Linked DNA regions of Pelodiscus sinensis. The protein of the gene in region 1 binds, or shares a complex with, the protein of each later gene. Links are inferred from orthologs where the notes say so. Each region holds a gene or a part of one and is shown in the gene's direction. Other genes may lie near its edges.

What was found. Proteins that work in one complex are often made in the same cells at the same time.
Region 2: RBL2 (region 1) and MYBL1 share a complex: the UniProt entries of both Homo sapiens proteins name them as parts of the DREAM complex. The link is inferred for Pelodiscus sinensis from reciprocal best matches to the Homo sapiens genes RBL2 and MYBL1.
Region 3: RBL2 (region 1) and E2F4 share a complex: the UniProt entries of both Homo sapiens proteins name them as parts of the DREAM complex. The link is inferred for Pelodiscus sinensis from reciprocal best matches to the Homo sapiens genes RBL2 and E2F4.

What each region holds. Positions count from the first base shown.
Region 1 is NC_134722.1:33,781,886-33,789,288, forward strand, and holds the start of RBL2 (retinoblastoma-like protein 2), read left to right. Parts: upstream 1-4,095; 5' UTR 4,096-4,261; coding exon 4,262-4,447; intron 4,448-7,403. UniProt on the Homo sapiens protein: Key regulator of entry into cell division. Directly involved in heterochromatin formation by maintaining overall chromatin structure and, in particular, that of constitutive heterochromatin by stabilizing histone methylation.
Region 2 is NC_134712.1:58,191,975-58,199,848, forward strand, and holds the start of MYBL1 (myb-related protein A), read left to right. Parts: upstream 1-4,851; 5' UTR 4,852-5,260; coding exon 5,261-5,280; intron 5,281-7,874. UniProt on the Homo sapiens protein: Transcription factor that specifically recognizes the sequence 5'-YAAC[GT]G-3'.
Region 3 is NC_134722.1:47,082,418-47,090,512, forward strand, and holds the start of E2F4 (transcription factor E2F4), read left to right. Parts: upstream 1-5,072; 5' UTR 5,073-5,127; coding exon 5,128-5,253; intron 5,254-8,095. UniProt on the Homo sapiens protein: Transcription activator that binds DNA cooperatively with DP proteins through the E2 recognition site, 5'-TTTC[CG]CGC-3' found in the promoter region of a number of genes whose products are involved in cell cycle regulation or in DNA replication.

The sequences.
Region 1 (7,403 bases):
CTGGCCCGATCTCAAATGGTATGCCTACACTTATGTCGACACCCAAAAGTCATCAAAACAAAAATCACCAGAGGGTGTTCACACTTGCTCCCTTGGTCAACAGATCATGTCCACTTTGGGGACACCATCATCACCTATGTAGTGGGAAGGCAGAGCTGATCTGTGAACATCTTGGGTTTCCCTCTGAGTTCTCCCACAGCCTCAGCTGCTGGGAGCAGCATGATGAGTAGCTTTGTGAGCCCTCCATGCTGAGAAATGTCAAAGCAGAACAGCGTCTATACCCTTGCCCTCACACCAGCAGGCTGCCTGCTACTGTGTTCCCAATGCAGGACAAAACAACATTCCAATGATTTGTTCTTTGTTCCCCAAACAGAGCAGCTTACTCAGCTGTCAGATATCTCTCAGCTTTGAAAGGGGATAAGCAGCGGTACCTGTGGAGGCACCAGTAAATATAGCAGCGGTACCCCGCCAGGGGCTTATCCTGGTGAACCACTGTTGTCTTATTGCCTACCCTGGACTAACCTAACCTGGATCAAGATATGACTAATAAGTACCCTGTATCCTTTAAGAAATACTACTTAGTCTCCAAGGTAGATGGCAACTTAGTAGCCATTACTTCAAAAATCTGCCCCTATATTTATTCTCTCCCTACCCAAATGACCAGAGTGGATTCAGTCATCTGCCAGTGTAAAGGTTTTGAGATCATTGCCTTGGTGCTCAAGATTGCCAGCCATTTGGTTTATATAGTAAGGTTGCTGCAGTGTCAACTAGATCACTCACCTGGCAGTAGGTAACATAAAATTGGGTCACAAGGCAGCATGACAGTAACATGTATGAAGGATTTTTGTTCTGCCTTACTACTTTGCCACACAAATCAAGCTTGTGCACAAGGAGAATACGAAGGGTGCAACCCCCCCCCCCCCAGCCACCACCACCACCACCATGGTTCCCCAAGTAAACATGCTCCAGTTAACTGGGGAAAGGCAGGAGAGGTGCCCTGTCCCAGCCTCCCTCCCACATCCTCTAGTCGGCCAGGGGAAGGCTGAGGCTGATTTCCAGCTTACTTGGGAGACCAGGGTGGGGGAGATGCGGTCACATCTTTGCAGTCTAAATTTATGAAAAAGCACACCCACCCAGAAATTCCTGCATATGGGCCTGCAAATTCTGATAGAATTGTCTGTAAAATTATGGGCGCACTGCTTGGTCTACAGTAATGGACATACTTGATTTTGGTTTTAGAATGCCACTTTGTCAGGAACAATTCACTTTGAGACTACTGCATTCAAAGAAGTTCAGCTGTTTCAGGAAGTGAACAATGTGATGTATGTAAAAACCCATATGTTGTCTCCCAAAGTTCCCTGCAACCCTGGTCGTCTTGTAAGAAATATCATGTTTCTCTTTCTCAGAGCACTTTCCAGGGTGAAAAGTCTAGTATTATGTGGACTGCTATAGCATCTGGGAGCTGTAAACATGGACCAGAACTCCATTGGCATAATTAGTGTCTACATTAGGGGTTACACCAGTTCAGTAGTATTGGTGACTGAAAATTTTGTGTAGACAAGGCCTGAGATGGCTCTGAGCAGTGAGTTAGAGGGATACAATGAGTTAATGTTTAAGTTGTGTATTGATCTTATTTTGCACAACTGAGCTTTGTGCATATTAGCAGATTAACTTTTAAGGGAGACTTTTCAGTGGAAATTATCACTATTTTAAATCAATTAATATATTTATCACCAAACATTGTGATAAAAATATTTCATAATTGTTTTTTATTGAGCAGAAATCTATAAAACAATTGCCCTGGCACAAAGCTAGCTATGAAGACTGTGCCATGTTTAAAATAATAATTTTATCTGTTTTAAGTGATTTTATCTTTCTAATTCAGGAGGTTGTATTTATTATTTTTGTAAATAGTTACAGGGTAATTTCCAGTGGGTCCTTCTTAGTCCTCCTGAACATTTAGGCCATAACCGTGCAAAGAATGAGTGTACTTCACTTTCTGCATTGTATGAGTAATCCCAATCACTACAGGTTCACAGACCCTGATCTTCAACTTGTGTAAACTGCTACAGCTCAACTGAAATCCACTGAATGATTGCAATTAACACCAGCTGAGGATCTGCAGGATCAGGACCGTAAATTGAAAAGGTTTGGACAATTTTGAGCGGTTATAGCAGAAAAGTGTTTAAAACAAAAACTCAAATCAACTTGTTCGAATATGAGGAGACCAAACAGACACAGTTAAAATTTTTTACAACAAAGGCTTAAAATGTTGGCTTCACTTTCCCTGATTTTCAGTCTTAAATTGTATTGATACATAAGTTTGAAAGGATTGTTTAATTTCCCCCATCTATTCTTGGTGAAAAGAGCTACAGTAATGGATTTACTTTGTGGCCACTTCCTTTCATTCTGACACATTAGGTTTTATGCCTACAATGTATCTCCTATTAGGGCTGCTCTCCACTTTTCATTACAGCAGGAACAGCTGTGAGCCTGCTGCTAACTCCGCTGGCCCCACAGAGCTATCAAGCTGTTACAAATCTGCAGGCGAAAACAGACTAGGAATGGCTTGTTCAAGGAACAAGTGCAGTCCGCCAAATTGAAGAGGGAGTGCTTAAGCAAAAGGAGGAATACGCTGCTGAAGGAGATGTACATGGAACATGAGGACAGGAGAACATGCAGGTAACTGGAAGTGAGGAACCAGGATCATCTTGATGTGTGTGGTGGTTGTGATGGACCCCATGGCAGCTTTCCAGAATGCCTACATGAACAGGCACCCTCTCCAGCCCTTGCAGAACAACATTCCCTCCTCAGAGATTTTCATAGCTTCCTCTCCTATGGCCCTAGAACAGAGTGTGGGAGTCACTCACACTCGACCCTGAGGGATATGTCTTGAAACAAAAGGCTGTCCTTGCAATTGTGATCATACACATTCAGAAGCGGTCCGAAGCTCACTGTGGCAGCTGGTGCCCTAGGCGGAAGGTGCGATCGGCACCTGTGCCTGCATGGCTGTCAATGGCTGTGATGTAATCATGACATCATCAGGCGCCTGGACCCATGGTGCCCTAGGCAATTGCCTAGGTCCATGGGTTGCCCCTGTACGCATTCACATCCTTCAGTTCCTGCTCTGGCCTTCTTTTCTGTCCCTGCTATGTTCCCTAAATAAAAAGGCATTAATTTCTTAATGGGTAGTCTGCTTATGGCTTGTGTTGGAAAGAGGAGAGGGAGTATTACAGGCAGACACACTAATGGCAGGGACACCTTTCATAAAACTGTCGAAGTCTGATGTGCACTTCTCCTCACTGTGCTCTCATTGCTCGGGTTAGATGCTGAGTATTGCCCTTTCCCCTTCCCCGACAGATCACATCTCCCCTTACATTCACAAATACCGTGGAGCCCAGCGTTGGCTACCACCACAATGGGAATGTTTCATTTGTTGCCTTCTAACCTAGGCAGTAGACTGGAACCTTCCAGGGGCATTGGCTCCTGTGCCCTACACAAAGCTGGGGGGTTGTGTGTAATCATGAGGGGTAACCAATGAGCAGCAGCGGTGCAAGTAACATTTCCTCCAGGTCCTGTCCCATCGCTTCTTCACCGGTGCGGAGAGCCACTGAATCGGAATGTAACTCTGCATGTGCGGAAACCAAGTGGGGCGGCTGCACCCCTGCCTGCACGCGGCTGCACCCCGGCCAGACAAGCTGGCTGGGAACTGCCGCTGCCCCGGCCTAGCTCTGTGACGTGTCACGGTGCAGAATCGCAGCCCCCCCCGGACCGAATGCGAAAGGCAGCGCGGCCGCCACGTGGCCATTGTTTCACGCGCCTCCCCGCAGCGCTATTTCAGGGCGGGGCTCCATGCTGGGACCAGGCAGCGAGGAGCTGCGGAACCAGCCTGCCGCCTAGAGGCGGCCGGCCTCCTTCACAGCGCTGCGCGCGCCGCTACCACCTGGCCTACGCGTCAGGCCCCGGCGAGCCAGAGCCACCGCAATGCCTCCTGGGGGTGGTAGTTTTTGCTGGCTAACTGTGGGCCGGGGCGGCGGGCACGTCTTGCCGCGATAGGTCGCTGAGACGCCGTCGCCGGCGGCTGCGTAGAGCGAAGCGTTCTGCGCCTGCCGGAAAAGCGCCCGCTGATTGGCGGCGGCTCCTTGGGGGACCAATGGCAGTCCAGGGTTGGGGCGGAACTCGGTCCCGGGGTGGTTGGTCTGGGGCGGCGCAGGCGCAGTGCGCGGCAGGCTGGCGTTGCCCTCTAGCGACGGGGTAGGGGATGCCGGGCGAAGAGGACGAGGAGGCCGAAGCGGGGGTCGGGGGCGCCGCCTCCTCCCCCCCGGCGGAGGAGTGGGGCGTCCGGCAGCGTTACGAGGATCTCTGCAACAGCCTCAACATGGACGAGCGCGCCCGGGCCGAGGCCTGGCTCAGCTACCAGAGCATGAGGCGCAACTACACCCTGGAGGTGAGGGGCGGCCACGGTGACGGGCGGGGCGGCCGAGGGGGAGGGGCGGACGCCAAGCCCTAGTTGCGAGGGGGGGGGACTCGCCTCCTTTGTGGTTGCCGCCGGGACCCGCCTCCCAGCGGGGGGAAAGGCTCCGTAGCCCTGTGCCGGGGTCCTGCGGCTCTGCCCCGGGTGATCATGATGGGAACGGGGATCAGCTCCAGGAGGGAGCAGAGTGAGTCTGCAACAGGAAAAACGTAAACAACAGCGAGCAGTCCGGTAGCACTTGGAAGACTAAGGAAAGGTGCCGCTGGTATTCTGAGCGTTCCTGGTCCCAGCCCACTTCAGGTGACTGGAGAGTTGGAAGTCCAGCTCCAAGACTAAATAAGGGATGGAGGGAGGGATCCCCCAGTGGCTGTTTTGTTTCAGACCAATTCCACAAGCCTAATGCACAGAGACGGATTGGAGCTTAACTTCGAAAGTATCTTTCGAAAAAGCCTCTTTCAAAAGAGGCTTGCAGTCTAGACGTAGCCTAAGATGCTACTACAGGCAGTCCCCGAGTTACGCGGATCCGACTTATGTCGGATCCGCAGTTACGAACGGGGTTTGCTCCCCGTCTCCCTGGTCTGCTGGTGTCCAGCAGACCAGGGAGACGCGGAGGACCCAGGCAGCTTCTCGGTCCGCCGCCCGCGTTTCCCTGGTCTTCTGTGGGGGGAGGGAGGGGCGCAGCTAGTACGCCCCCCCCCCCCCCAGCAGACCCGGCTTTTCTCCGGACGCCTGTGGTAGAGCAGCTGGGGCGCTGCCGGTTGGTCCCGCAGCACCACTCTGGGCGCTACTGGACCAACCCGGCAGCACCCCAGCTGCTCTGCCCCAGGCGGTCCCCAAGTCAGCCGCTGCTGAAACTGACCAGCGCTGACTACAGGAAGCCCGAGGCAGAGTTGCTCTGCCCCGGGCTTCCTGGAATCAGCCTCTGATCAGTTTCAGCAGCAGCTGACTTGGGGATGCCTGGGGTTCTTAAGTTGAATCTGTAAGTAGGAACTGGCGTCCAGATTCAGCCTGTTGAGACTGATCAAAGGCTGATTCCAGGAAGCCCGGGGCAGAGCAACTCTGCCTCGGGCTTCCTGTAGTCAGCCGCTGGTCAGTTTCAGCAGTGGCTGAATCTGGATGCCAGTTCCGACTTACATACAGATTCAATTTAAGAACAAACCTACAGTCCCTATCTTGTTCGTAACCCGGGGACTGCCTGTATACTGTTTGTTGTTTTTTAAGTTTTTCCTATTACAGACTTAACCTTCAGAGGGATAGCTGACTATCTGCTCGCTGTCTTTTTTTCTTCCTCCCCTTCAACTTTTTTTCCTTCTCCTTCCTTCCCTTATTTATTCTTGGACCTGGACTTCCAGCACTCTGGTCATCTGAAGAAGTGGGTTGTGTCCATGAAAGCTCATAATACCATCTACATGCTTTGTTAGTCTACTAGTAGCACTTTAAAGACTATTTGTTGGTTTTTAATAATGGTGATGTTAGTGGTTGCACCATAAAGGGAAGGGGGGGGGCGTGTGGAGTCTCTCCCCTTACGATGTGTGAACTCAAGGACCTAGCCTTTTCCTAATGAAGGCAAAATCACCCTGTTAGTCTCATTTAGCATGGACGCTCTAATTGATAGCTTCAGGGGGTAGCTGAGTTAGTCTGTACTCAACCGTGGTCACCAACTGGTCAATCGATTGCGAGGGCTTGACCAGTCGATCGTGAGGTGTTCGGGCCACCCTCCTCCCCCAAGAAGCCCCACTACCTACCTCCAGCAAAAATGGAGGTAGTGCCTGCTTTCTGTGGGGTGGACAGAAGTCCTGCAGCTGTGGGGGCTTCCCTCCTCTTCAGGAAGGGGAGTTGGCCCCGGAGAAGGCACGAGCGGGGATTTCTCTCCTCTGCAGGAGGAGGGTCCTGGGAAGAGGCTGGTGCCAGGGACTCCCTGCCCCCACTTGCACCCTGTCCCGTGCTGCAGAACCCTGTCCCCTCTCTCCTGTTCCCCACTGGCACCTTGCCTCCACCCTGGCACGCTGTCCCCCTGCTCCCACTGGTACCCTGTGCCCTGCTGCAGAACCCTGCCCCCACCCCAGCAACCACTAGTACCCTTCCCCAGTACCATGTCCCCTGCTCTCACCAGCACAGTTGGGGCCACATTAGTGAGGCTTCGGGGGTTTTTGGCAGGAGGTGTGGTGTGGTGTGTGGGTGTGGTTTTTTTTCATCTCGTGTGGCCCCAACTAACTTTTCTGTGGGTCAGTGACCCCCGACGCAAAACAGGTTCCCTGCCCTTCTCATAAATAAAGACAATGCAGAAACTTTTTGTGTTTGACGTAGTATTTTTTTAAAAAATTAAGCCTGGCCAACAAACCCCCAGTTGGGACCAAGCCCCCATCTGGCTGCAGCATTATAACACTCCTGCACCCCCCCCCCAGGCCCTAGTTCTGAGCCTATCATACACTGAAACCCCCTGCCCTGAACCTCTCACATACCCCAACCCGAATTCCTGCACCCTCACAGCCACAAGCCTGTGGCTTGCTTAGTACCACAACCCTCCATCTGACCCCAACACTCCCCAGCCTGAAGCCTCCTCCCCAAACCAGCATCCCCTTCTCCACCTCCTCCTGCATCCAAATTTCCTCCCAGAGCTTGCACCTTTCACCCCTTCCCACACCCAAATCCCTCATTCCCACCCCAAAGCCCACACATCCTGTCTCAACTCGGTGAGGGTACGGCTAGACTGCACGAGTTTTTCCAGGATTCCAGAGATCCTGGAAAAACTTTTCCGCATCCAGGGATCATAGAATCATAGAATAATAGGACTGGAAGGGACCTCAAGAGGTCATCGAGTCCAGCCCCCCGCCCTCAAGGCAGGACCAAGCTCCACCTACACCATCCCTGACAGATGTCTATCTAACCTGTTCTTAAATATCTCCAGAGAGGGAGATTCCACCACCTC
Region 2 (7,874 bases), on another chromosome or scaffold:
GGTTTTGTTTTGGGATGTATTCCTGAGGGTTGAATATGAAGCTGCCCTTCACTTCCCTACCCTCCCACGTTGTAGAGCCCCTCAGAGAGGATGCTATGGAACTCAGTGAGGAGGGAATGTGGTTTAACAAGGGCTGGAGGGGTGCCCATGCATGCAGCTGTCCTGGAAAGTTGCCATGTGGTTCATCACATCTGTCATGGTCTTCAAGACTCTGTCCTAGTTTTTCACTTCTAGCTCCCTGTATGCTCTCCTGTCACCCTTCTCCGCTTTCATCTCCAGCAGCAGCATATTCCTCCACTCAATTAAGTGCTCCCTGTCCACATTGGCAGATTACATTTCCTCCTTGAACATGTCATTCCTAGTCTATTTTTTCCTGCACATTTTTGCCAGCCAGCTAGCTGGTGGAGTCAGGGGAGTGTGTAGCATGCTTACTGCTGTTTCCACTGTAACAAAAAGTGAAGGGCTGGGTGTAGGGTGTCCAGCCAAGGGGGAAGGTGCAAGAGCAGAGGGTGTCTGGCCAAAAGGGGAGGATGCAGGAGTGGGCTGGGGATGTGACATCTTGGTGGAGGTGTGTGAGAGGGGGTGGGAGTGCAGGGTCTGGCCATGAGGGAAAAGCGGAGGCACTTACTTGCTTTCATGTCCCATGTCTGTCCCAGGCACAGTGTCTCAGGCATGGCCTTTCGCTGCTCCCACTGGCTGGATTCCGGACAATGGGAGTAGTGGGGAAAGCATCAAGGCAGCGTGTCTGTGAATTGCTGTTCTCAGGTGGGGGAGGGGGAACAGCAGCACACAGAGCTGCTTCTGGCACCGCTTCTTCCCTGTGAGGTGGACCCTTCCTTCTGAGTGGTTTGGGGCTTTCTTCCTCCCTCTCTGGCAGGAAGCCAGCGCGGGCTCCCTGCTGTGGGGAAAGAGAGGGAGGGAGGAAGGAGGGGCTGAGCTTGAGATGCAGATCACCTGCAAGGTGGCCACGGACCACTAGTGGTCAGTGGGCCACAGTTAGAACCACGGTTCTACAGGATAAAGTGTTTAGAGACATCATCATCTAAAATATTTGTAAAATCCTTATCTATGTGATAGAAGTGAATCTGTTTATTAAGTGAAACAATCTTTAGAATTTGATCCTTTATATACTTTCTACTACAGTAGAACCTCATAGTTATGAACACCAGAGTTACAAACTGACCAGCCAACACACACCTAATTTAGAACTGGAAGTAAACAATCAGGCAGCAGCATGGACAAAAAATAAACAAAGCAAATATAGTACACTAAACCACTCTGGTCATCTGAAGAAGTGGGCTGAGCTCACGAAAACTCATGATACCATCTACATGTTTTGTTAGTCTATAAAGTGCTAAAAAAACCTATTTGTTGTTTTTTAAGTTTATCCTGTACAGACTAACTTGGCTACCTCTCTGAAGCTTTTAAATATTTCAGAGTTACTAACACCTCACAAATGGAGATTGTTCGTAACTCTGAGATTTTACTGTACTTTCACTTTTCTCAGTGTAGACAATAATGATAAATTAGGGTGTGTCTAGACTACAGAGTTTTGTCGACAAAAGTGGACTTTTGTCGACAAAACTATACCTGCGTCTACACTACTGCTGAGTTCTGTCGACATAACGTCGACAGAACTCAGCAGTTTTGTCGACACTGGTAAACCTCATTTTATGAGGCATAACACCTTCTGTCGACAGAGTTCTGTTGACAGAAGGTGTTATTGCATGTAGGGTTGTGTCTAGACTACAGGGTTTTGTCGACAAAGCAGCTTGCTTTGTCGACAGAACTGAATGTGTCTAGACGCTCTTTGTCGACAGAAGTTTTGTCCACAGATACTGTCGACAAAACTTCTGTCGACAAAACCCTGTAGTCTAGACATACCCTCTGGTTTGTTTTTAATGTCTAGTCATTTCCTCTTCAGGTTTTTATAGACTACTAGCTTTTTACCCGGCATTGTTCAGGTACTTCAGGGCAGGGTGCTGGAGGTGTGTGGGTGGTGTAGGAGTCAGGACTGGGGGTGAGGAGTGGCTCAGGGCAGGGAATGGGGAGTGCAGGAGTCAGGACAAGGGATTGGGAGGTGTGTGTGTGGGGGGGGGAGAGGTTCAGGGCAAGGAGCGATGGGGTCAGGACAGAAAAGTGGCAGATACAGGAGTCAAGGCAGGGGTTTTAGGAGGTATTGGGGGCGCAGGGCATGGTGTGGGGATGTAGGAGTCAGGGCAGGGGATTGGAAGGTATGGGGGTTGAAAGCTGAGGGTGGAGGGTGCAGGAGTCAGGGCAGGGAGTGGGTGACTCAGGGTAGTGGATACCGGCAGTCAGTGGCTGCTCCCTGGGGCTGGTCTGGAGTGGCAAAGACCATGCTGGCACTGGCCTGTAGTGGTGAGAGTTGCACTGGCTGGCTGATGGCTGCTCCCTGGGGCCAGCCCAAGGCTGCTGTGCTGCTCTGCTGGCATCTGCTCCCCAGGACTGGGGCACTTTTTGCTCCCTGTGGTCATTGTGACGTATAACTGACCCTGTTATCAGAGCCCTCTCTTTCCATTTGATGAGAAACAATCGGATTCCAGGCACTTCCCATTATTCCTAGCATAACCAAACACTGACCTTTCTTTAAATTAGAATAAGAGAAGGTTGCATATCAAATTTGGTAGTCCTAGCTTTTACCGTTCAGGAGGAGTTCTTGAACAAACATGAATGCATGGACAGGCACTCCCACACAAGCTCTCTTAAATATATAGTAGATTTTGCTTAGGTTGTAAGGGGGGAGGAAATGTGGTAGAAAAGTTGCTTATTTTTAGACTAGGTTGAACACCTATTATTGGTGTTTGATTTGAATAAAAGGCAAAAGATAATATCAGTTTGACTTTCATAATTAACCTCCCTTCCCCAAAACAAAAAACCTTATAATTGAGGAAGCTTATCTTCCTCTTTTCCTTACTCCTAATCATTTTTCTGGGGAGTAAGGGAGAAAGTTATTCCTTAGGCTTGTCTATACTCACTGTGCTGCAATTGCATCTGTGCTGCTGTAGTGGTTAGTGAAGCTATCTACACTGATAACAGAGCATTGCCCCTTGTTGTAGGTACTCTAATTCCCAAAGAGCCATGTTAATGGGAGAAGCCCTCCCATAAACTATTTTTGCCTATAGCAGGGGCCAAGTTAGTACTAATGTGTCACTCATCTAGGTGGGCATAGTTATACCAATATACATTTGTGATGTAGACCAAGTCTCAGATTATACATCATATCAGACTGTATTGTAATGTTAGGCAAATACTAAGGGGCAGTGCCCCCTGCTTGCTATGCTTGCCAACTCCCCTCTCTGAGGGTTGGCAGCTCTAGCTTTCCCCCACCCCTGGCTGCCATGGGGCTGGGCCAGGCCTAAGCTGCACCTAGCCTGGCTTTCTCCCTTCGGCCACAGGGAACCCGGATCAGGCTGAGGCTGCAACTGGTCTGAGTCTCTTCCTCTGGCTGTCGGGGGGCTGGGCTGAGGCTGGCCCAGTTCTCTCACTCCAGCCGCCCGAGGGTTAGGCCGGGCCAAGGCTGGCCTGGCTCTCTCTCTCTGGCTGCCACTGGCAGTGGTTGGCGTGGCTTTCTCCCTCCAGTTGCTGAGGGACTGGGCTAGGTTGAGGCCATAGCTGGCTAACTGGCATCCTCCCGTGAGGGGAGAGGGCATGTGGCTCCCAGTCCCATCCCACCAGGGGGGAAAGATACACAGGTGGCAGCTCTGGGTCTCCACGGTGACAGGGGAAGTCCACGTGGCTCTGGCCCCCTCCTGCTACAAGGGGGAAGGCTGCTTCGCTTTCCCCCCACGAGGGGGGAAGGCTGTGTGGCTCTGGCTCCAGTCCCCTGTGTGAGGGGGAAAGGCCACATGTGCCCAGGGCTCTTCCCCCTGGCCACAGAACACTAGGGAGATAAAGGGAAAGAGGAAGGAAAGGGCTGCAGGATGCAGAGTGACATGATGACATGACTCTGTCATCCCTCAGGAAAATCTTTTTTATAGAGAGATACATGGGAGGAAGGCAAATACTTGTTTTTATAGAAATTTTTTTTTTTTAAGTCTGCCTAGGACTGTATTGCATTAATAGTGAACATTTGGCCTCTCCAAAGCTCCATTTCTCTCTCCATTTGTTTTGGTACAAAAGCTGCTCTCACTATATTTTTTGCTATTCCATACTGACAGCTCTTTAATTACAAATTAAGTCAAAGTACATTGGATGAGTCATGAAAAGGAGACTATGTAGAAAGGAAACAAGAACATCCAGGAAGTCCCTTCGATAGCTCAGCTGGTAGAGCGGAGGACTGTAGAGGAGCTGCGGGAATCCTTAGGTCGCTGGTTCGATTCCGGCTCGAAGGAGACATGATTTTGTAATTATACTCTATGCCGAATGTGAGAAATCTCTGTATCGGTAACATTTGCACTAGGCGAGATGTGTTTCCCTCCCCCTGCAGACTGTGGGCTGTTCGCCTGCATTTTGTCCTTAGTCAGTAATAGGTGAGTCCGGATTCCAAGTGATCTGCTCACTCAGGACGCCTCGCACAGGCACATTGAAGGGGGAGAATAAGGCCTTGGGCTGGGAAGCAAGAGCGGCAGCAGCACGTAGCAGAGCCCGTGGGGCTTCTTACAAGCTGCCACTGTTGAACACCGTCAGGCTTGGCGGGAAGAAAAACTCGCTCTCCCAGGATGCAGCGCGCTATGTCCTGCCCCCTTCATCCCTACTGCTCCGGGTCCGCCCCCGTCTGGCTCTATGCCCCGCCCCCTTCATCCCTACTGGTCGCACCCTTTCTCCCTCTGGCGCGGTGCCCCGCCTCGATCGCGTGCGGCTGCCTCAGCCAATGGGGTTGCAGTCCGCGTGCGCAGATTCAAACGGTGGCTCTGGAAGGAGGCTGGGCGCGAGATTCGGCGGCACGGACAAAACCTGTGACGGCAGCGCAGCGGCAGAGGAGGCCGGGCCAACGGGGGACGCAGCTGGGAACAGGGGCCTCGGAACTGGGCAAGAAGCGTCCGCAGCCCCCGATCCTGTCTCCGCAGCCGGGCCGGGCCATGATCTGTGTGCGGGGCGCCGGGCCAGGCCGGGGCTAAGTGAGGTGGACGCGCTGGAGTGTCCGGGAGCGGTAGAGGCAGCCGCCCCCTTTTCTGCTGTGTGACGGGGCGGGCCCCACGGCCGCCACAGACTCCCCGGGGCAGTGTGAGGAGCCCGGGCAGGGAGCCGCGCAGCGCCGTCCCCAGTCCGTCTCCGCCTCCTTCTATGCTGCGCCTCGAGGATGGCGAAGAGACCGCGCAGGTGAGTAACGCCCCCGGCCGGCCGGCCCGCCTGTCCTGGCTCGGGTATCTCCGCGCCTTCGTCCCGGATCCCTGCTCCGATCGCAGCGCTGTTCCCTTCGCCTGCAGGGTCTCTGTCCCCTTTCCCTCTTTGGGACCCTCCCCCGGCTTCGCTCTCAGCTGTGCTACACCCCCACATCCCGCTTCGTCTTTCTCTCCACGCCAGAGGCTCAGGCTCTCCTCCTGTCCGGCCGCCCTTCCTCGTGCTCCACTGTCATTGTCCAGTCCCTCCCCAACGCTGCATGCCCAGAGCTAGATCCCGGCCCCATCATCCCCCCTAAGTCCTGTCACCCACCTGTCGCAACACCGGTGTTCCCCGACTTCTCCATCTTCCCTGTGTGTTGCATCTCACCGGAGTTGCTGCACCCATGTCTTTTCCATGTCGCTCCGTACTACAGACATAAGAGTAACCTCGTCTTCTCTTTCCCCTGGGCTACTAGTTTCTTCCTACACAGTAGTTCTTGCCAGTTTTCCCTTTCTTCTAACTTTCTGGTCCTTTACCTCTCTGACCAACCACGTGGTTTTAATACTTTGACTTCACTAATTCTTATTTTTTTAAAGACTGTGTTTTTAGTCCTGGTACATCCATTGATGGGGGGGGGGGGGGGAAGGTATATGTGATTCTTTCCTGTAGCTGGGAAATCTGTGAGTGAAAGTGCTTATTCAGCTGCAAACATTGAGCTGTTGCAGATTTATCTTCTATTTTGCAGGAGCTTGTGTGTCTCATTTATACTAAAAATCTGGATTTTTAGGAAACTACACTTAGTAATTTAGTTACTACTGTCTTCTGTCTTTCTAGTTGTGGATTTTTGTAGAAAGGGGTTTATGAGATTGATAAAGGAAGAGCAGGGTAAATGGTCAATATTAGTTATGAAAGCTATTAGGTTTTGACCATCTCTATTATTTGGAGACTGCTGTGTATGCATATTGTTCATGGGAGTGAAGAAATTGTAGTTTTGTGGTTGGTACATCAGAATTTCTTCTGTATTTTTCTTCCAGAGGAGATCAGGTTTATTACAAATATACTATAAATTCATAGTTCTTGTGGGAAAACCACAGGAAGGAAAGTAATATGTTTTCCTTGTAATTGTTCAGTTGTTTCAAGGGGAACAAGAAAATCTCATTTGGAGAACTGGGTTTTGCCCAAGAAAGCTCACAATTATATATGTATGTAAATAGGGATGTGAATGACTAGTCTATTATCCGATAAGCAAAAGCTTATTGGATAGTTGATACACTAGTCCAGTGTTTCTCAACTAGAGGTATGAGTACCCTTAGGGGTACTTGAGACAAGTTTGGGGAGTATGTCAACACAACTGAAATTTGGAGAAAACTGAATTTTTGTTTTAAGTTTTACAGCACTTTATTATTTTTGTGCTTTTTACAGCCAAAAATTTCATCGCCTGCCCGGCTACAACTAAGCTGTTTAAACAAATGTGTCGCAATGGGGAAAAAAATGTGTAAGTCTGAAAACTATAGGTATTGGGGATACTTATAATTATTTTTTTTAAAGATACTTAAAAAAAAAAAAAAGGTTGAGAAACACTGGACTAGTTGACTGGTCACTTCCCCTCCCTTGCTGCCTCTCAGAAAGAGGCAGTGTGGGGGAGGAGTACTTCGAAGTGGCAGTGCCGTTAAAACGCCGCATGCTGCTGGGGAGTCCCCTGCTGGCCCGGCTGCATACAGTGTTTCAAGGTAGCAGCACTGCATGGAGCCTGGGGTCTGCCGCTTTGAAATACCATGTACAGCTTGAGTTCCCACCTGGTCCTGCTCTGCATACAGCGTTTAAGAGCAGCAGTGCTGCATGGACCCTGGGGACAGCTGGACACTCTGAGTCCCCAGCTGACCCCGGCCTCCATGTGATGCTGCCACTTTGAAATGCTGCAGGTGGCCTGAGGCCAGCAGGGGACTGCTTTAGTCCCCTGTGCTCCTTGCAGCTCTTTCGCCTTTGAAGTGTAGCCCTGGGCCAATTAATCTAAATTTAACATTTCTAGTGTGTAACAAAAGTTAACAAATATGTGTGTGTATAATGTGTGTGTGTGTGTGTGTGTATTTATTTTATTTATGTATTGTATATGTTTGTTAGGCCTGTGGCACCTTAGTGACTACTCGTTGTTTGGAAACTAGAGAGGATCAGCTACCTTAATGTAGGTAACATGAGACATTCCAGCTACATATTGCACCCAGAATGCCATCTGGAGCATCTCTCTTTAACCAATACAAGTTGGTCCATTAAAAGTTATGACCTCATATTACCTTGTCTTTCTGGAGTCAGGAGCTAAGGAAGACTTACTAGTCTTTCTGGAAGTGCCAATATTGCTGTCAATGAATATTGAGCTGTGAAGAATTCACATTTCTTGCTAGATTATTAAAATAGGTGTGCATAGACGATGAGCTCATTTGGTACATTCTGGTTACAGCAGAACAAAAAGAAAGTGTTGGTATATACAGGCAGTCCCTGGGTTACGTACAAGATAGGGACTATAGGTTTGTTCTTAAGTTGAATTTGTATGTAAGTAGGAACTGGCTCCAGATTCAGCTGCTGTCACTAAAACT
Region 3 (8,095 bases), about 13 Mb from region 1:
GGGGGGTGTTTGAATTTACAAGGGGGGGTGTCAGGTTCGATGAAGGGTGAGACCGTGAGGGTGAAGGTGGGCTGTATGGCACCATAGTTCACAAAACTTGGGGGGGGGGTTGTTGGGGAAATTCAGGGGGGGTATACACCCCCATGGGGGGGGTGTAGGGAAATCCCCGCTGAAGTCATTTAACCCTTTCCTGTCCCCCCTGCTAGCTGAGTCCTGCGTTTAAGGCAATTCTGGAGATTTACGCCGAAGTAAGGATGAGAATCGAAGGTTAGTACCACACGAAGCAATCCCAGAAACGGAAAGAAGAAAGGCACAGTTCCAAGCCGAAATATCGGACGTACACCTTTCTATTGCAGACATCGGATTTTGAGTGACCCCGCTGAAACCACAGCATCCCTCCAACACATCCAGCGTTCCTCCGGACCGAAGAGCGCCTGCTAAGATAATTGCCCAACTGTGCAGAAACATCTCAGCCGGGCCTTGACGTGCAATATACATTTACAAAATATAAGCCTGGGCGTAGCTCCTAGCTTTGTAGATTTCAGGAGCAGATAGGCCCACCGGGGGAGAGAGGGAGGGGACACTTTTCATGTCCTGCCTGCTTCACACAAGGCCAAAAAAAAGTAACTTGTAATTCCCGTGTTAAGCCCAAGAATTTGTGGCTGTCCCAGGAAGACAATGAGTTCTGATGGAAATGTTTTCAGTGATGGAGAATGCACCATGTGCCTTGGCAGGTACTTTTACTTATTACTGCCCCTCACTGTTGTGTGTCATGGGCCCAGGATGAATTTGTCTAGCTCCACTTCCAGCTACTGGATTTCATTGTGTCTTTATCTAGAAGACTTACCCGGGTCCAAGACAGGCTGGCTTCTCCTGGGCCAGGGTAGCAGGGTCCGTACTGCTGATCAGGGACCGCTGATAGGGGCACTTGCTGCCATGTGTGAGCATAACCCCTCCCTTTCCATTTGCTATGAAACAGTCCCATTCCAGGAACATCCCATTGTCCTGGCACAACCCAACCCGACCTCGCTTTGAGTGATGGTAAAGAGGAAGCTGCCTACCAAATCAGGTGATCCTCGTGTAACCCTCACACCTGCTGGGTGCGGTGCACTATCCCACTTATGGCACTGGGACCAAGTCAAGAGAGACTAATGAGGCTGCTCTACAGCATTACCTGAGAGCCAGCTGGCTTTTAGCTTGTGTGGTAGAGACTCGTGCACTAAGCTCCAGAGGTCCTAGGCTCAATTCCCGTGTCAGCGTTATGCCAGCTTGTACCCGTTAGGAGGATTCTTGAACAAATGGACTCACAGACAGATGCAAGTTTCTAAAATACATAGGAAGATTAATGAGCCCGTCCTCAGAGATCTCCCTGTGTAAGTGGTGACAGACCATGATCTCATCAGTGCCTCATCTTTGTTTTGACAAGATAAATAGACTGAGTGTCATAAGCCTCTCGCTATAAGCCTCCTCTCCGGTACCTAATATTCTTGCAGCTTTTCCTGAACCCTTCTTCAAATATGCAGAGCCCTGCGCAGATACAAAATGGCTGTGTCTAGACTGGCCAGTTTTTTTGGAAAATCAGCCGCTTTTCCGGAAAAACTTGCCAGCTGTCTACAGTGGCCGCTTGAATTTCCGCAAAAGCACTGACTTCCTACTGTCTGAAATCAGTGCTTCTTTCGGAAATACTATTCTGCTCCCGTTCAGGCAAAAGTCCCTTTTGCACAAAAGGGCCAGTGTAGACAGCTCAGATTTGTTTTCTGCAAAAAAGCCCTAATTGAGAAAATGGTGATCGGGGCTTTTTTGCGGAAAAGCGCATCTAGATTGGCACCGATGCTTTTCTACAAAAAGTGCTTTTGCGGAAAAGTGTCCATGCCAATCTAGACGCTCTTTTCCGAAAATGCTTTTAACGGAAAACTTTTCTGTTAAAAGCATTTCCGGAAAAACATGCCAATCTAGACGCAGCCGATTTGTATCTGTATCCACAAAAATGAGCTGTGGGTATCCGCAGCTGTGGATGCGGTCACCCGCGGATATAAAGTGGGTATCCACAAATTTGTCAGGCTCTAGAAACATGGGTACCAGAACTGGACACCATATTCCAGCTGTGGTCTGTGTGCGTATGTCCTATGTAATATGAAAGCCAAGAATCGAATTAGTCCTTTCGGCCACAGCATCACCTTGGGAGCTCTTTTGCTTTGGCTGCTCTCCACTATGACTCCCTCTTCTAGCAGCTGATGTGGAGGTATGAACACCAAGAGAGGAGAAACTGCTTTTGTAGTTGGCCAGCCATTCACAGTCTTTGTTTAATCCTAAACTAATGGTGTCAAATTTGCAGATGAACTATGTAGCTCAGCAGTTTCTCTCTGAAGTCTGGTCTTGAAGTTTTTTGCTGCAGGATGGCTACCTTTAGTTCTGCTACTGTGTGTCCAGGGAGATTGAAGTGTTCTCCTACAGGTTTTTGTATACTGCCATTCCTAATATCAGATTTGTGTCCATTTATTCTTTTATGTAGGGACTGTCCAGTTTGGCCAATGTATATGGCAGAGGGGCATTGCTGGCACACGATGGCGTATATTACATTGGTAGCTGTGCAGGTGAATGAACCAGTGATGGTGTGTCTGATCTGGTTAGGTCCTGTGATGGTGTCGCTGGTGTAGATATGAGGGTAAAGTTGGCACTGAGGTTTGTTGCAGGGATTGGTTCCTGAGTTAGAGTTACTGTGGTGCAGTGTATAGTTGCTGGTGAGAATTTGCTTCAGGTTGGCGGGTTGTCTGTGGGCGAGGACTGGCCTGCCTCCCAAGGCCTGTGAAAGTGGGCGATCATTGTCCTGGATGGGTTGTCGATCACTGATGATGCGTTGGAGAGGTTTTAGCTGAAGTCTGTAGGTGATGGCCAGTGGTGTTCTCTTGGTTTCTTTCTTGGGCTTGTCTTGTAGTAGGAGGCTTCTGGGTACATGTCTGGCTCTTTTAGTCTGTTTCCTCACTTGGATATCGTAGTTTCAAGAATGCTCGGTGAAGATCTTGTAGGTGTTGGTCTCTGTATGAGGGGTTGGAGCAGATGCGGTTGTAACTTAATGCTTGGCTGTAGACAATGGATCGTGTGGTGTGTCCGGGATGGAAGCTGGAGGCATGAAGGTAGGTATAGCGATCAGTAGGTTTCTGGTATAGGGAGGTGTTTATGTGATCATCACTTATTTACACCGTGCTGCCCAGGAAGTGGCTCTCTTGTGTAGACTGGTCCAGGCTGCAGTTGATGGTGGGGTGGAAGCTGTTGAAATCATGGTGGAATTCTTCCAGAGTTTCCAGAAGTGGAGACAAAAACACTTTGGCTACGTCTACACTGGCCCCAAATTCCGGAAAAGTGATGCAAAGCAGGTAAGTCAGAATAGGGAAATCCGCGGGGGATTTAAATATCCCCCGCGGGATTTAAATAAACATGTCCGCCGCTTTTTTCCGGCTTGGGGAAAAGCTGGAAAAAAGCGTCTAGACTGGCACGATCCTCCGGAATAAAGCCCTTTTCCGGAGGATCTCTTATTCCTACTTGAAAGCATTGGGCTGAGAAGTTGATCCCTGAGGTTCTAAAAGGACATGGACTCCATGCATCGAACAAAGTGGTTTTTACCCATGAAAGCTTATGCCCACACATATCATCGTCTGTAAGGTGCCACCGGTCTTGTAGTTGTTTTTGAAACTACAGACTACCACGGCGACCTGTCTGAGGCTTTGTATTTATGTGAGTGCAACACTTAAAATATTATGCATGAAAGGGGAAATGATTCCTAGTTTGTGAATGAAAACTTAATTTGGGAGGTTCTGTATTTTTAAGTTTCGTGTTCTTCAAGAATTGTGGTCAAAGGGAATCAATCAGCTAACCTCCCTGGGCCCAGACTCATCCAAGCGGGTTGACATAAAAGGAACCAGTGTTTTTCGTGTGGACACGCCAGACTTGCCCCGGGGAGGAAAAAAAGTGAAAACTAAGAGTGGAGCTAGCCAGAAAGCAGTGAAGGCGTTTGCTTCCTAAAGGAAGCTTTTATCAGAGTGAACCACGCCCTGGAGTTCAGCTTGTATTTCCAATGCTGGGGCCCGGGGCCAGATCTGCTCCCGGACCAGGAGTGAACATGAGACCAAATCTGAATTCTCTCCACTCATCTGAGGAAGTGGGTTGTACCAGCTACATGTTTTATTAGTCTTTAAGGTGCTGCTAGACTATTTGTTGTTTTTTAATGTTTGGGTCAGTTAAATTACGGAGATTGGTTTTAGGAAAGCCCTTTAAGAAGGTCTTACAGGTAATTCTGGGGGAACTGGTCTGGAATTCGTCTGAGAAGCAATGTTCCCTCTAATCTTTTCCATCTATGTGCAGAATATTTTTTTCTACATGCACCAAGGCACATGTGAATGTGCACCATCAGTAGAAGCAAACCTGGCTGTGAATAAACAAACACCCCGGCTCGCCGAGCCCCCCCCCGCACCCCGAGCCCCCCCGCACCCCGGCTCGCCGAGCCCCCCCCCCGCACCCCCGCACCCCGAGCCCCCCCGCACCCCGGCTCGCCGAGCCCCCCCCCACTCCGGCTCGCCGAGCCCCGCACCCCGAGCCCCCCCCCACTCCGGCTCGCCGAGCCCCCCCCCGCACCCCGAGCCCCCCCGCACCCCGGCTCGCCGAGCCCCCCCCCGCACCCCGAGCCCCCCCGCACCCCGGCTCGCCGAGCCCCCCCCCGCACCCCGAGCCCCCCCGCACTCCGGATCGCCGAGCCCCCCCTGCCGCGCCACCGTGGCCGGAGCCCCCGAGGGGCAGGGTCCCCAGGCGCCGTGGGGGCTACGGGCCGGGGGGCCACGGGGCGCAGGTGCCAACTTCCCGGCCGGGGCGGCGCTGCCGCGAGTGGGGTCCGCTCCGTGCGGTCCGGGAAGTTGGCAACCGGCGCGCAGCACTCGTCACACACACACACACACACACACACACACCCCCCAGCTAGTGGCCGGGCGCGAGGCGGGGCCCCGCCTCGGCCCCGCCCCCCGGCGCCACGTGACTCCCCGCGCGGGCGGCAGCGGCCCCGCCCCCTGGCTTCCGGCGCGGCTTCCCGGCCTGCCCCGCGGGCGGCGGCGGAAGCGGAAGCGGCGCGCGGGGAGGCAGATGGCGGAGTCCGGGCCGCAGCCCCCGGGGGCCCCGAGCCGGCACGAGAAGAGCCTGGGGCTGCTCACCACCAAGTTCGTGTCGCTGCTGCAGGAGGCCAAGGACGGGGTCCTGGACCTCAAGCTGGTGCGGCCCGGGGGGGTCTCTCCGGGGGGGGCGTACGGGGCCTCCCCCCTCTGGCGCCCGCTTTGTGCAGGGCCTGGGGCCGGGTGGAGCCTGTCGGGGGGGGGCTGTAAGTGGGGGGGTCCCTGTCCCGGGGGGCGGTGACACGCTGAGGGGAGTCGTCGCCACCCCGGAACAGAGCCAGACCCTGGTCCCGCGCCCCCCGAGGGCCTGCGCGTCTGCTCCGCGCCCCGCTGCAGGGAAACAATCCAGAGTCCACAGCCCCGTCACCGGGAGATCGTAGCCTGGATCCACCCCAGCGCAGTCGCTCTTCGCAAGTGGCAGCCCTGCATTAAGCAGGACACCAGCTTGAAAGGGATGCGTAGGTCACTGTCAGCACCGTGTGTTGCAGGGGGCCGAGCAGGAAGCCAGCACAGTCTGCGGAGCTCAGGGAAATCACTGCTAAGCAAGTGGGGGTGCGGTTCTCCACTAGCTGAAGTTTCCAAATGATCTTTAGGGTTCTGCCTCCTCCAGTCTGGAGGTGGGGGAGACCTGGCTGCTAGGGGAGGAGAGCAAATCAGATCGTTTCTGGCTGAAGCTCTGCAAATCTGGAGCTTGCATCTGGTCTGTGCCCCAGGTGAATACGCGTTTGCCCACACACGTGGCAACCTGCATGTTTATGCATCACAAAAGCGCACTGCATAGACTGTCCCCAAAGCTGTCTCACCCCAGCACCTCCGAGATCACTAACGTGTGGCTCATTGCACCCTGATGAGCAGCCTTGTCAGACTCGACAATTTGGGAGATTCAATACGAAAAAGGTTTCTTTGAATACACTGAAGCTTGCGGAGGGAGAAGCAGGTGGGTGGCGGGGGCTGCGAGGGGCAGATTGGAGGGGGTTAGGAGGCCACAGGTAAGGCTGTGATATGGGTAGGACGGGGGTAAGTGGGAGTGCAACATTGATCTCGGGTGTATTTGTGGTATCTCGGACCTTGTTCAATGCCCTTCCCTGGTGCTTGGCTGCATCCTGCTTTCCCGGCCTCCCGAGCAGCCTCTGCCCTGGGAGCCGCTGCTTATCATGCCATGTGTGTGGAGGAATCTCCCTTGGATCCGCAGTGCTGCAGTTGCTGCCTGAGGCATCAGGCTCGGATCCGCATGGGAACCCAGGGCTGGAGGACTGAAAACGGGAGGCTCAAGGAAGCACTTGTGCATCCAGGCATGGCTAGGAGGCAGCAGGACTCTTCTCAAGCGGGTCAGCAGTTTGTGGCTCTAAAGTGGCTTGGTGTGGGGCTTTTTTGGGGGGGGGAGCGGGGAGAATGCTGATTTGGCAAAACCGAAACTTTTCACAGAGCCAGTCAGCTTTGAGGAAACTTTTGCCGGGAAGATTTTTCAGAACAGGAATGGGCTCTGAGCTCTGCGAGAGGCACTTCCACCTAGTCTGTAGCATGGTGGTTAGGATGCCAGGTGAAGACCCAACCCCCTGGGTTAGGGATGTCCAGTCCTATTTAATTGGTTAACTGGTTAAATGCAGGGGGCAGCTCCCAGGTGTCAGTTAACTGGTACCTGCTTACTGGGCAACCAGCTACCGATTCACATCCCTAGTGGCGAATTGGCATAGGCACTTATCCTTGTCCCTGGCCATTGGAGATCTTTTCTCACGGTATCTCCCTGCCATGTCCAAAGCCGAAACCTAGCTCTTGTCTTCCAGCAGTGCAGCATGCCTCCATGGAGTGATACCCATGTGTGTGTCGCCTCAGCTGTCTGTGTTCCCACTGCTGCTCTTTCTGGCTTCGGGCATGTGCAGGAGGTGACTAAGAGGTTCAGGCTGGGACAGAAAAGCGGTGGGCGTTTGCTCCAAAAGCGGCGGGCAGTTGGGACTCGTGTTTGTCAGCATCATTGAAACAGAGCAGTGGCTTGTGGAGCACAGCTGTGTAGGAAAGTGACCAGGCTTGTGTCTTTTGCAGTATCCAGTGCAGTGTGGCGCTGGGCATATCAGTACAGACATACGATGCATTCACACTGACCCAGCGCCCATGGAATTCACACTTAGGGTTACTTGGGATGGGAACTGGAGTAACTTCCCTTGGCAGGCACCCAGGGGCGCGCTGAGTGTTAAGGTACGGCTGTTCCTGCCAACCAAAGAACAGATCCACCCCTGGAAACTTCTTGTGGGAACCTCAGGCCTGGGGGCTGAATGCAGCCCGCAGCTTGCCTGGATCCAGCCCCTAAGGCTCAGGGCCCCCCGCTTGCATTGGGGACCCGCACTGGTGCTCCAGCCCCCCGCTGTCTCACCACACGGCTGGAGCACAGAAAATCACGGCTGGGCCCCCAGGCTCTGGTGTGCAAGGGAAATGTAGGAAGCATCTTTCTGCTTCCGTCGGGCATCACATCAATGAGGGTTTTTTGTGTGTGGTCCCCGACTGATTTGTCTGTGGGTCAGTGGCCCCCAACCCAAAAAGGTTCCCTGCCCCTTCCCCTAGAGCCAAGTCAGCCGAGGAAAGCTGAGGACTTTGGGTAGCATAAGAGCTGCCTCACCACAGCCTTCCTAATCTGCTCCAAAAGAGAATGGAGCTAGGGGCTGAAATACGGAGGACCCTCCCGGGGCATTGTCCCAGAGAGGCGCAGTCCTGGCGGGCTCCAGAGGAGCTGGGGAGGTGGCCGGGCTGGCTCTGGGACAGCAGGGGTTTTAGTGCAATGAGAAGTTGGATTGTGGGGAAGATCAGTGGTAGTTTTGAAGTCCTGGGGAGCAGGGTCCTCTCTGCAGCTTGAGAAGCAGGGGCACAGAGGAGGTGCTGTCGGAAGTATGGGGCTCTGACCCCCGACGGGGAAAATGTGGTGCCCGCGGGAGGCCGGCTGTAGCTGTGAA